Linked DNA regions of Macaca fascicularis. The protein of the gene in region 1 interacts with the protein of each later gene in a biochemical or structural test. Links are inferred from orthologs where the notes say so. Each region holds a gene or a part of one and is shown in the gene's direction. Other genes may lie near its edges. The genes, in order: NFKB2, BCL3 and BTRC.

Region 1 (2,885 bases):
TGTCATCCACCACGCCCAGGACCTCGGCGTCGTCAACCTCACCAACCACCTGCACCAGGTGCGGGGGCGCCTACTGGGGAGGTGGGAGGGGTTGGAAGGCAGGTGGGTCTCGGGCCTGGCTCACCCTGCTTTCATCCCCAGACGCCCCTGCACCTGGCGGTGATCACCAGGCAGACGAGTGTGGTGAGCTTTCTGCTGCGGGTGGGTGCAGACCCAGCTCTGCTGGATCGGCATGGAGACTCAGCCATGCATCTGGCGCTGCGGGCAGGCGCTGGTGCCCCTGAGCTGCTGCGTGCACTGCTTCAGAGTGGAGCTCCTGCTGTGCCCCAGCTGTTGCATATGCCTGACTTTGAGGGTGAGCTCCCCATCTCACCTGACTAGGGGGCAGGTGGGGACCAGGGAGGGTGTCTGACCAGTGTGCAGATTGGACTATGAGGTGTCAAGGTTGAATGGTCAGGGCTGGCCCAAGGACCGCCTTAAGGGTCATAGCTGCAGGTTGAGTATCCTGTATCCTTAGGATTGTATCCAGTACACCTGGCGGTCCGAGCCCGAAGCCCTGAGTGCCTGGATCTGCTGGTGGACAGTGGGGCTGAAGTGGAGGCCACAGAACGGCAAGGGGGGCGAACAGCCTTGCATCTAGCCACCGAGATGGAGGAACTGGGGTTGGTCACCCATCTGGTCACCAAGGTGGGACTGAGGATTGTGGAAGGAGTGGGACCACGGGTGGTGGAGGGGCCAAAGACGGTGAAGCGGGGGCTGGCTAGGGGGACCATGCTGTGGTGTCAACCCTTGCCGCTCGCACCCCCAGCTCCGGGCCAACGTGAATGCTCGCACCTTTGCGGGAAACACACCCCTGCACCTGGCAGCTGGACTGGGGTACCCGACCCTCACCCGCCTCCTTCTGAAGGCTGGTCAGTCTCACCCTCAGGGGCACTTGAACAGGGTGAGGGGAAGGGAAAGAGGTGCCTCCCAGTCCTCCCACTTTGCAGTCCTTAATGTGGGCCCCCACCAAACCTCCCCATGACGGCCTCCCTCTCCCAGGTGCTGACATCCATGCTGAAAACGAGGAGCCCCTGTGCCCGCTGCCTTCACCCCCTACCTCTGATAGCGACTCGGACACTGAAGGGCCTGAGAAGGACACCCGAAGCAGCTTCCGGGGCCACACGCCTCTTGACCTCACTTGCAGCACCAAGGTGAGGCCAGCCTGGAACTAGAAGCGCTCTGAGTGACGGGGTCCAGAGTATCTGGACTTAAAGACACGGGCTTAAGGACGAGGTGGGAGGTAGTCAGAGCGGCGGCTGTCTCCCCAGGTGAAGACCTTGCTGATAAATGCCGCTCAGAGTACCATGGAGCCACCCCTGACCCCGCCCAGCCCTGCAGGTGAGGAGCATCAAGCATCCCCAGCCCAATTCCTCAAACAGAAATTCTTCTCCTTCAGGACCCTCTGAAAGAGGCCTCCCTTTCTCTACCTTCAGCCCCATCCATCACCCCTCGTGGTCCTGTCTGTCGCTTACCTTGGGAGAAAGGCAGTGTTCAGGTGTCCATGTCCCCACCCAACTCTGGAGGTAAATGACATGTCTGTGTGTCCCCCTCAGGGCCGGGACTGTCACTTGGTGATACAGCTCTGCAGAACCTGGAGCAGCTGCTAGACGGGCCAGAAGCCCAGGGCAGCTGGGCAGAGCTGGCAGAGCGTCTGGGGCTGCGCAGCCTGGTGGACACGTACCGACAGACGGCCTCGCCCAGCGGCAGCCTCCTGCGCAGCTATGAGGTGGGTTGGCCTTCGCCCTGCCCCCTCCCCATCCTCCTTTCCCGATCTGAGTCCAGGTGCCTCCTTGGCCCCAGGGCTTCCAAGCATACACCCTAACCATGACTCAGACCTCATCCCGCTGTTTTTTTTTAGCTGGCTGGCGGAGACATGGCAGGTCTGCTGGAGGCCCTGTCTGATATGGGCCTAGAGGAGGGAGTGAGGCTGCTGAGGGGTCCAGAGACCCGAGACAAGCTGCCCAGCACAGGTAAAGGGGCATCCCTGGAAGGGGGATCTGGGCTTGGAGGGTGGGAGGCCTGAGTCCTTGACTATCCCATTCCTGTCCCCATTTACCCCCAGCAGAGGTGAAGGAAGACAGTGCATACGGGAGCCAGTCAGTGGAGCAGGAGGCAGAGAAGCTGGGCCCACCCCCTGAGCCGCCAGGAGGGCTCTGCCACGGGCACCCCCAGCCTCAGGTGCACTGACTTGCTGCCCGCCACCACCCCCCTTCCTGCACCCCCTGTACAGTGTCCCCACCTATTTCAAATCTTATTTAACACCCCACACCCACCCCTCAGTTGGGACAAATAAAGGATTCTCATGGGAAGGGGAGGACCCCTCCTTCCCAACTTATGGCAGCCCCTGATGTGACTCTTGTCCCTGGAACCAGCTACCCATCCTGCCCACACGCCAGGCATGGTGAGAAGAGAAGGATGAGGCCCAGCCAGCAAGTCCAGAGCAATTTTAATGGGGGTGGAGGCTGTACAAAGGGCAAGGCCCACTGAAGCGGGGAAAGCCAGGTCGTGCTGCCCCCGGCCCAGGTATGGGGCCTTGGCATGGACGCCCTTCCTCCACCTCCAGCAAGAGAGAGGGTGAGCCCTTGGGGAGGAAGGAGGGGAAACCAGCTCAGCCCCAAATCCTGGTCTCTGTCCAAGCCAGGCCCCAGGACAGAGGGGGGACTGCTGGTGTCAGGGTGGGGTGGTCTCAGCAGAAAGCAGAAATGGCATCAGGCCTCTCCCACACAAAAAAAAAGCATCAAAAGTTCAGGGGCGCTAGCCCCTCCCACCCCCGCCCACCCTGTACGAAAAAGTGCAAAACATTATCACAAAAAGGGGCTCTCGGACGTGCCCCTAGCCTAGGC
Region 2 (4,167 bases), on another chromosome or scaffold:
TGTGTGCCCAAAGCCTCCCTCTCCGCCTCCTGTGACTCAGTGACCCGGACTCAACCCCAGCGGCTGCCCCGCCCCCAGGGAAATCCGGGAAAGCCCCGGACCTTCGGGGCCCCACCCCGGGGCGGGGAGAGGCAGAGAAGGGGAGGAGACCGGGAAGAGTCCCGCCTCCCCCCTCCTTCCCTCCCATCTCCTGCCTGAGTCATGCCCCCAACCCGCCTGGCTTGTTCCCCACCCATCAACCCCTCTTCGCGGTGGGAGGGGAAGTAAGGGGGAAGCCAAACTGCTCCCCTCTCCTGCAGCACCGGCCTCGGTCGCGCTGACTCTGGCCTGGCGTCTGTGTCTCTTGCTATCTCTCTTTCTCTCAAGATCTCTGCGCCTGTCTCCATGTCTCTTTCTCTCTGTGCACCTAGGATTTTCCGAGCACCCACCCCGGTGCCCTGGGGGCCCTGGCTGGGTGCAGGGCCCCCAACGCGGACAGAGACACAATCAGTAGAGCGCTCCCCACCCTCACCCCACCCCCAGCCCCTTTAGACCCACAGCCGAAGAGGCACGTGGAGTGGCAGAAATGGAAGAGAGGAGGGAGAGGAATCGTTCCTGGCCGCCTGCCGAGTGCCAGTCCTTGCCCCGGGTGCGTCTCTTCACTCCCACTAAGGAGGAAACGGCTCAGAGAGGGGAAGTGTTTGACCAAGGTCACCCAGCGAGGAAGTGGGAACCGAGATTCGAACCTGCGTCCCAGAGATGCCAAGGCCTCCTGAGAGGCAGAGAAGCAGACAGCAACTGACAGAGAGATGGTGACAGACACAAAGAGACAAAAGAGAGAGACAGAGACCGAACAGAGCATACAGAGACAAACGCGGGGGTGCGAAGAGAAACACCTACTCAGACAGGAGAACCAGAGAGACAGTTACAGACTCAGCGATAGAGAGGCTGAGAGATAGAGCCAGAAAGATAAAAACAGAGGCAGAGAGACTGAGAGCGGCCCTTGGCAGCAGGGGTAGGGACACCCCCCCACCCTCCGACCCCGCCTCCTCTCTCCCCACCCCTCCTTTCCTCCCACTCCCCCGCCAAGGCCTGGCTGCCCGGGGCGCCGCGGGCCGGGAGGGGGCAAGCGGGGCGCGGCGCGGGCGGGGCGCACAGCAGGCTGCACCGCAGAGCGGCGGGAGCAGCGGCGGGTCCAGGAAACCCCTGGGGCGTACGGGTGGCCCCGGGGGGGGCCGGGGGCGGGGAGGCGGGCGGCCGGCACCGCCCCGGCCGACAAAAGTCCCTTCAGTTCAGCCGGCTGCAGGGGAAGTCCCGGCGCCCGGCGAAACCACCCTCCCGTGCAGCCGAGCCCAGCAGCTCTCCGGCCGCCGTCCCCGGCGGCCCCATGCCCCGATGCCCCGCGGGGGCCATGGACGAGGGGCCCGTGGACCTGCGCACCCGACCCAAGGCCGCCGGACTCCCGGGCGCCGCACTGCCGCTCCGCAAGCGCCCGCTGCGCGCGCCCTCCCCGGAGCCCGCCGCTCCCCGCGGCGCTGCGGGCCTTGTTGTCCCCCTGGACCCCCTGCGCGGCGGCTGCGACCTGCCGGCGGTCCCCGGGCCCCCCCACGGCCTGGCCAGGCCGGAGGCGCTGTACTACCCGGGTGAGTGGCCCCCCGAGGGTCTGGGCCTGGTAGGAGCCACACAGAGCATAGGGTCACCAGAGCCAGGAGACACAGCTGGAGGCACAAACCCGTCTATCTCCAGGAACCTGGGGGACAAGAGGATGTAACCCCAGGTTCCAGGGATACAGATAGGAGATCATCAGGGAGCCAGTAAGCTGTGCCTTGGGACACAGGCATCTGGGGGTTTGGGGACCCTGGGGGGCAGAGCCCAAGGGCTGAGTGACATGGGGGGGCCAGGGACAATGCCCACTGGTACAAATATGGGGGTGTCAAGGAATCAGGACACAGAGCCTGGTGTCCTGGGGACAAAAAAGTACAAGCTTTTAAACCAGATGTGTAGGGTTATGAGGAAGCTGAGCTGGGCTGGAGAAACTGGGGTTCCTTGTATCCTGCTATTAGAATCAAAGGAAGTCAGGGTAACAGAGACTGGGGTTCTAAGGAGACAGATACTGAGGATCTCAGGATGTCACAATCTCAGGAACCCAAGATATCTGGAGACATGGGCATTATGAAAACAGAGATGGGGTTCTGAGCACCCCAATACCTGGGATCACAAGGATCCAAGGGAATGAACCAGAGCTCCAGGGACCCAGATACCAGGGGGTCTTGAGGACCCAGGGGAACAGAGACCCGGGGTTCTGGGTACTCAGTTATGTGGGACCACGAGCGATCAGGGTCCTATTTGAGGTCAAGATCAGGTGGGCCGGAGGGGATCGGGGGACTGAGGATCCTAAGATTGGGTAATTCTGAGACTCTGGGTAATTTAGAGGCAGGATGAAAGATTCAGGGGTCTCCAGACAGAAAGCCTCAGGGCCCCAAGGCCTGGTATTGGAGATACGGGGACCTGGAAACTTGAGAGTTCAAGAACAGAGGACCCACAAGGATCAGCAGAGGACAAAGACAGCACACTTTTCCCTCCAACCCATCTCCATCCCTGATCTCAAGAAGGGGTGTCCCCTAGCACAGCTGTAGCCGTGTCACCATCCCCAATTGACCCCCAAAGCTGCAGAGAGCCCTTCTCCAGAGCCCCAAGACTTTAGGTAGTTTCTGCACCTCCCACCCCATCAGTGTGACAGCTGGAGAGCCTCAAGCTATATGCGTCAGGAGTTCTGCCACGGCCTCCCAGCTTTCCCATTCCAAGAGTAAGAACGCAGGCCTCAGTTTTCCCCGTCTGTGTGATGGGTTGGTATAGATTTGCCTGCTGCTGTGGTCCCCCGCCTTTTGTTTTTGTTTTGCTTTGTTTTGTTTTTTTGAGACAGAGTTTTGCTCTGTCACCCAGACTGAAGTGCATTGGCGTGATCTCAGCTCATTGCAACCTCCGACTCCCAAGTTCAAGCAATTCTTGTGCCTCGGCCTCCCGAGTAGCTGGGATTACAGGCATGCACCACCACACTTGGCTAATTTTTGTATTTTTAGTGGAGACAGGGTTTCACCATGTTGCACAGACTAGTATTGAACTCCTGAGCTCAGGTGATCCACCCGCCTCGGCCTCCCAAAGTATTGGTGTTAGAGGCACAAGCCACTGCCCCCGGCCTGCCATGGCCCCTTTTTTAACAGTTTGATCTAAAATTACCCACATGTGGTGGTGAGCATCTGTAATTCCAGCTACCTGGGAGGCTGAGGCAGGAGAATCGCTTGAACCTGGGAGGCGGAGGTTGCAGTGAGGCAAGATCGTGCCACTGCACTCCAGTCTGGGCAACAGAGCAAGACTCCATCTCAAAAACAGTTTGAACAGGCTTCTGGTGACACCTCCTCTCTCCCTCCATTCTCTCCAAACCCACTCTACATTTATCCCACACCCTGCACCCAGCTCTTCATCAGCCACACAATCACTCCGCAGACAGTCCCTCAGGTTCCCTGCTAGGTGATGATGGGTGCGCCCTCTGTTCTTAAGGGACCCTTTGTCTGATTGGAGATTGGGGTCAGAAGATAAGTGACAATAAGGGTGACCAGCCCTGGAGGGAGAGGAAGCTGCCGGAGCCCAGAGGAGGGATGTGGAAGGGGGTTTGTTTTAGGCCCTGAGGACCCAGTATAGGATGCAAAAGGGACCTGGGAGAAAAGGTAGGTGACACTGCAGGAGCAAAGATCTAGAAGTAGGGAGCGATCTAGAAGTGGGGAGCAGGTTGAGGGTCTGTGAGTGTGGCCTCACCCATGTCCCTCCTCTGTCCTCCATTGCCTAGGAGCCTTACTGCCTTTGTACCCCACTCGGACCATGGGCTCCCCGTTTCCTCTGGTGAACCTGCCTACACCCCTGTACCCCATGATGTGCCCCATGGAACACCCCCTTTCTGCTGACATCGCCATGGCCACCCGAGCAGATGAGGACGGAGACACGTGAGTGATAGTCCCCTATTAAGGGGAGGGGTGGTTGGGAAGACCAGCTGTCCATAACACAGGGCCACTCAGCTCCCGTGGACCTGAGTCAGAACTCGGTCTCTACCACAGGCTGTGTGACCTTGAATAAGGCCCTTCCCCTCTCTGAGCCTCAGTTTCCTCCTCTGAATAATGGGCACCCGGAAAGCAT
Region 3 (3,647 bases), about 890 kb from region 1:
TCTGAGGCAGGAGAATGGCATGAACCCAGGAGGCAGAGCTTGCGGTGAGTGGAGATCACGCCACTGCACTCTAGCCTGGGCAACAGAGCAAGACTCCGTCTCAAAAAAAATAAAAAGATGATGATGATGATAAAATTGGAGTGGAGATAACATTGTTTAGTAAGGGGTGTGAGATTGTTTTCCAGTATGCTGGGAACATTCTACATCTTCATCAGGGTAGTGGTAACTGCCAGTGGTATGCTAGAACAGGCTCATACTCACTTATGAGAGCCAACTATTCATGAATTTTGCAAGCTGGTTGACTATTACTAGCTTATAATTGGCCATGGTAGGAGTTTTTAATGCCGTGGAAATCTACCAGTGGTTTTACAAAGTAGCAAAGTTGGTTGATAAACATTTATCAGCATACTGCTTATTGCTCACCAATCCTTGACCTCTGATTATAGAAGGAACTTAGAAGATAAAACCAGGGAGGTAGTAAGGAATGCTGTCATCCACCCTAAGCCAAAAAGGGTTGGCATGAGAAACTATTAATAGCATGCTATTTAGCATGTCTTGGCCAAAGAATATTACTTTGTTTACAGCTGCCTAGTATTTGACTTTTCCATGCTGCCTTTAGCCAAAGTAAATTTTCTTTTTTTTTAATTTATTTATTTATGTATTTATTTAGACAGAGCCTCACTCTGTTACCTAGGCTGGAGTGCAGTGGCATGATCTCAGCTCACTGCAACCTCTGCCTCCCAGGTTCAAGCAATTTTTCTGCCTCAGCTTCCCAAGTAACTGGGACTACAGGCACGTGCCACCATGCCCAGCTAATTTTTTGTATTTTTAGTAGAGATGGGGTTTCACCGTGTTAGCCAGGATGGTCTAGATCTCCTGACCTCGTGATCCGCCCGCCTCGGGCTCCCAAAGTGCTGGGATTACAGCCGTGAGCCACTGCACCCGGCCTCTCTCTTTTTTTAAAAAAACAACTTCATGGTAGAAAATTAACAGCAAACCATAGCCTTTCTGTAGACTCCTTTTGACATCTTGCTAAATTTGTGTCCTATTGATTTTGAGTAGTTCAAGTTCCTACCCTTTTTGTTTCTACTTCTTTAGGAGCATTCCGGAAGAGTTTTTCGACTCCAGTTTGATGAATTCCAGATTGTCAGTAGTTCACATGATGACACAATCCTCATCTGGGACTTCCTAAATGATCCGGCTGCCCAAGCTGAACCCCCCCGTTCCCCTTCTCGAACATACACCTACATCTCCAGATAAATAACCATATACTGACCTCAAACTTGCCCAGGTATCAAAATCTATTATGTACATAACACTGTGGGTAGGAGACAGGATATTAGCTGTAAGGTATTGCTAGTTCATGGAGCTTTCTCCTGCCATTTGTGTCACCAAGTCCTGTAAAGCCGAGGAAGCAGACAATGTGAGACAGGGCTGAAGCTGCCACAGTATGGACAGTGCCTTTCACCAAGGTAGCCAGCCTCAGTTCTAGGTGATTGTAGGGTCCTATGTGTGTGGTAAGCCTAGTCATTCCTGCCCTAGTTATCTAGTAGTACTGTTATGAAAATAAAATGAGATTTGAATCAGTTTGAAAACTAAGTAATGACCCAAAGGCCTGTGATGTTTAAGTTCCCAGATCACACAATACCTACAATAGAGACGTTTCAAGCCAAGTAGACACTCTGATGTCTAATGTGTGAATGGAAACATCTCTTGGTGAAAGTTCACACTGACATAGAAATAAAAGGGCAGATTTTAAAAGGAATATAAAAAGTAGCTTTTATATCCCTATCCCCATTCCTCAACCCTCCAAAAAGAGGACCTGTCTTTTGACCTCTGACGTTGGTGAGAACTCCATGTGTCCTCCCACTCAAGTCTCCAAACTCTCTCTCAGGCAGGGGAAGATCCTAAAATACCCAGGTGGTCCATACATATTATGGTATATTCAGATCATACGTGGTGTTCTGACCAGTTTGAATACACTAGGTTGTTGCCAGTTTGAGAAGGCTGCCCTAGCTGCTGAGGAGCGTTGCCTCAGTTCTCCTGGCAGAAGTACATGTTCGCTACACGTTTCTGCATCTCTCTTTGCAGTGTTCCACTGAGGGCAGTGATTCACGCCCAACTGGGCTTGCCTCAGCACCTCTTTCTCCCACAGAGGACACGGTTCATCGTTCCTCAGCCAAGTCGCACAGGCTATGTGCCCTTGGACAAGTAACTTCCCAGAGCCTGAATCTCCTGATGAGTAACACGAGGGGCACTGCTCACCTCATGGAGCCCTGTGAAGGCTGCATGGAGATACTGTATGGAAAATTCCTAGTGCTTAGCACAGTGCCGAATACATAGCATGCCCTCAGGAAAAACTGGTCATTAGTATTAATACTGCAATCTCCCTATACCTACCCCCTCCTTTTGCCCAAAATTTTCTCTTCCTTAGACTTCTGTGACACTTTGCTATTTTTAATATTCTTCCTGGCTCTCTGATTATTTGTGCCTCTTTCCCCCTCACTCCTAAGAGTCTGTTTCTGGCTTTTCTTATTATTTTTATTTTATCTTATTTCTTTTTTTTGAGACGTAGTCTCGCTCTTTCGCCCAGGCTGCAGTGCAGTGGCGCGATCTCGGCTCACTGCAAGCTCTGCCACCTGAGTTCACACCATTCTCCTGCCTCAGCCTCCTGAATAGCTGGGACTACAGGTGCCCGCCACCGTGCCAGGCTAATTTTTTGTATTTTTAGTAGAGACGGGGTTCCACCATATTAGCCAGGATGGTCTCGATCTCCTGACCTCATGATTCACCTGCCTCGGCCTCTCAAGGCCAAGCCACCGCGCCTGGCCTATTTTATTTCTTGAGACAGGGCTTCGCTCCTGTCGCCCAAGCTGGAGTGCAGTGGCACAATGTCAGCTCACTGCAACCTCCACCTCCCAGGCTCAAGTGATTCTCCTGCCTCAGCCTCCTGAGTACAACAGGCACACAACACCATACCCAGCTAATTGTTTGTATTTTTTTTGTAGAGATGGGGTTTCACCATGTTGCCCAGGCTGGTCTCAAACACCTGAGCTCAAGTGATCCACCTCCCTTGGCCTCCCAAAGTATTGGGATTACAGGTGTGAGCCACCATGCCCGGCCTCTCTTTCTTCCTTATCTAAGTTCCTTCTTAGGCTGCCTTCTCTCTTCCCAAAGCTTCAGATCTCATCTCAATGTAGAAGACTCAAATTTCTGTCTCCAGTCCAAGCCTCTGCTTTAATCTCCAGGCCACATTTCCAGCTGCCATCCACACAGCTGTCCTTGAAGATAGCAAGAGCACTTCTAGTGCTCACATCCTCAACTACACTGTCCCCTCCTTTACACTGCTGGTACCCTCCAGCCACACAGCCGGGCCAGCTTTCCTTGATTCCCCCACTTCTGTTAGTGGCACCACCATGCTCATGGCCACTCAAAGGCAGGGCCCACAGACCATCCCCGACCCCTGCCCTGCCATTCTACAGGGCAGGTGAAAGCTATGCCAACCGTGGTCACTCTCAGCCTAAAGACATCAGAGTCACTCTGCTTGAACACCACAGCCCTGAGCATGTCAGCAAGCCCTGCCTTTAGTGTAACTTCCCCATCAGTCCAGGTCACCTTTGACAGAAGCTCCTGCATGGCATAGACAG

What was found.
Region 2: the proteins of NFKB2 (region 1) and BCL3 form a complex in vitro, tested with the Homo sapiens proteins (2 studies listed by BioGRID). The link is inferred for Macaca fascicularis from reciprocal best matches to the Homo sapiens genes NFKB2 and BCL3.
Region 3: of the proteins of NFKB2 (region 1) and BTRC, one has a biochemical effect on the other in vitro, tested with the Homo sapiens proteins (2 studies listed by BioGRID, with this or other methods). The link is inferred for Macaca fascicularis from reciprocal best matches to the Homo sapiens genes NFKB2 and BTRC.

The regions. Positions count from the first base shown.
Region 1 is NC_088383.1:111,409,661-111,412,545, forward strand, and holds the end of NFKB2 (nuclear factor NF-kappa-B p100 subunit), read left to right. Parts: coding exon 1-58; intron 59-141; coding exon 142-355; intron 356-517; coding exon 518-687; intron 688-808; coding exon 809-911; intron 912-1,041; coding exon 1,042-1,193; intron 1,194-1,310; coding exon 1,311-1,380; intron 1,381-1,595; coding exon 1,596-1,768; intron 1,769-1,900; coding exon 1,901-2,012; intron 2,013-2,104; coding exon 2,105-2,229; 3' UTR 2,230-2,377; downstream 2,378-2,885. UniProt on the Homo sapiens protein: NF-kappa-B is a pleiotropic transcription factor present in almost all cell types and is the endpoint of a series of signal transduction events that are initiated by a vast array of stimuli related to many biological processes such as inflammation, immunity, differentiation, cell growth, tumorigenesis and apoptosis.
Region 2 is NC_088393.1:52,781,870-52,786,036, forward strand, and holds the start of BCL3 (B-cell lymphoma 3 protein), read left to right. Parts: upstream 1-1,283; 5' UTR 1,284-1,366; coding exon 1,367-1,622; intron 1,623-3,823; coding exon 3,824-3,977; intron 3,978-4,167. UniProt on the Homo sapiens protein: Contributes to the regulation of transcriptional activation of NF-kappa-B target genes. In the cytoplasm, inhibits the nuclear translocation of the NF-kappa-B p50 subunit.
Region 3 is NC_088383.1:110,523,462-110,527,108, forward strand, and holds part of BTRC (F-box/WD repeat-containing protein 1A), read left to right. Parts: intron 1-1,098; coding exon 1,099-1,260; 3' UTR 1,261-1,291; intron 1,292-3,647. UniProt on the Homo sapiens protein: Substrate recognition component of a SCF (SKP1-CUL1-F-box protein) E3 ubiquitin-protein ligase complex which mediates the ubiquitination and subsequent proteasomal degradation of target proteins. Recognizes and binds to phosphorylated target proteins.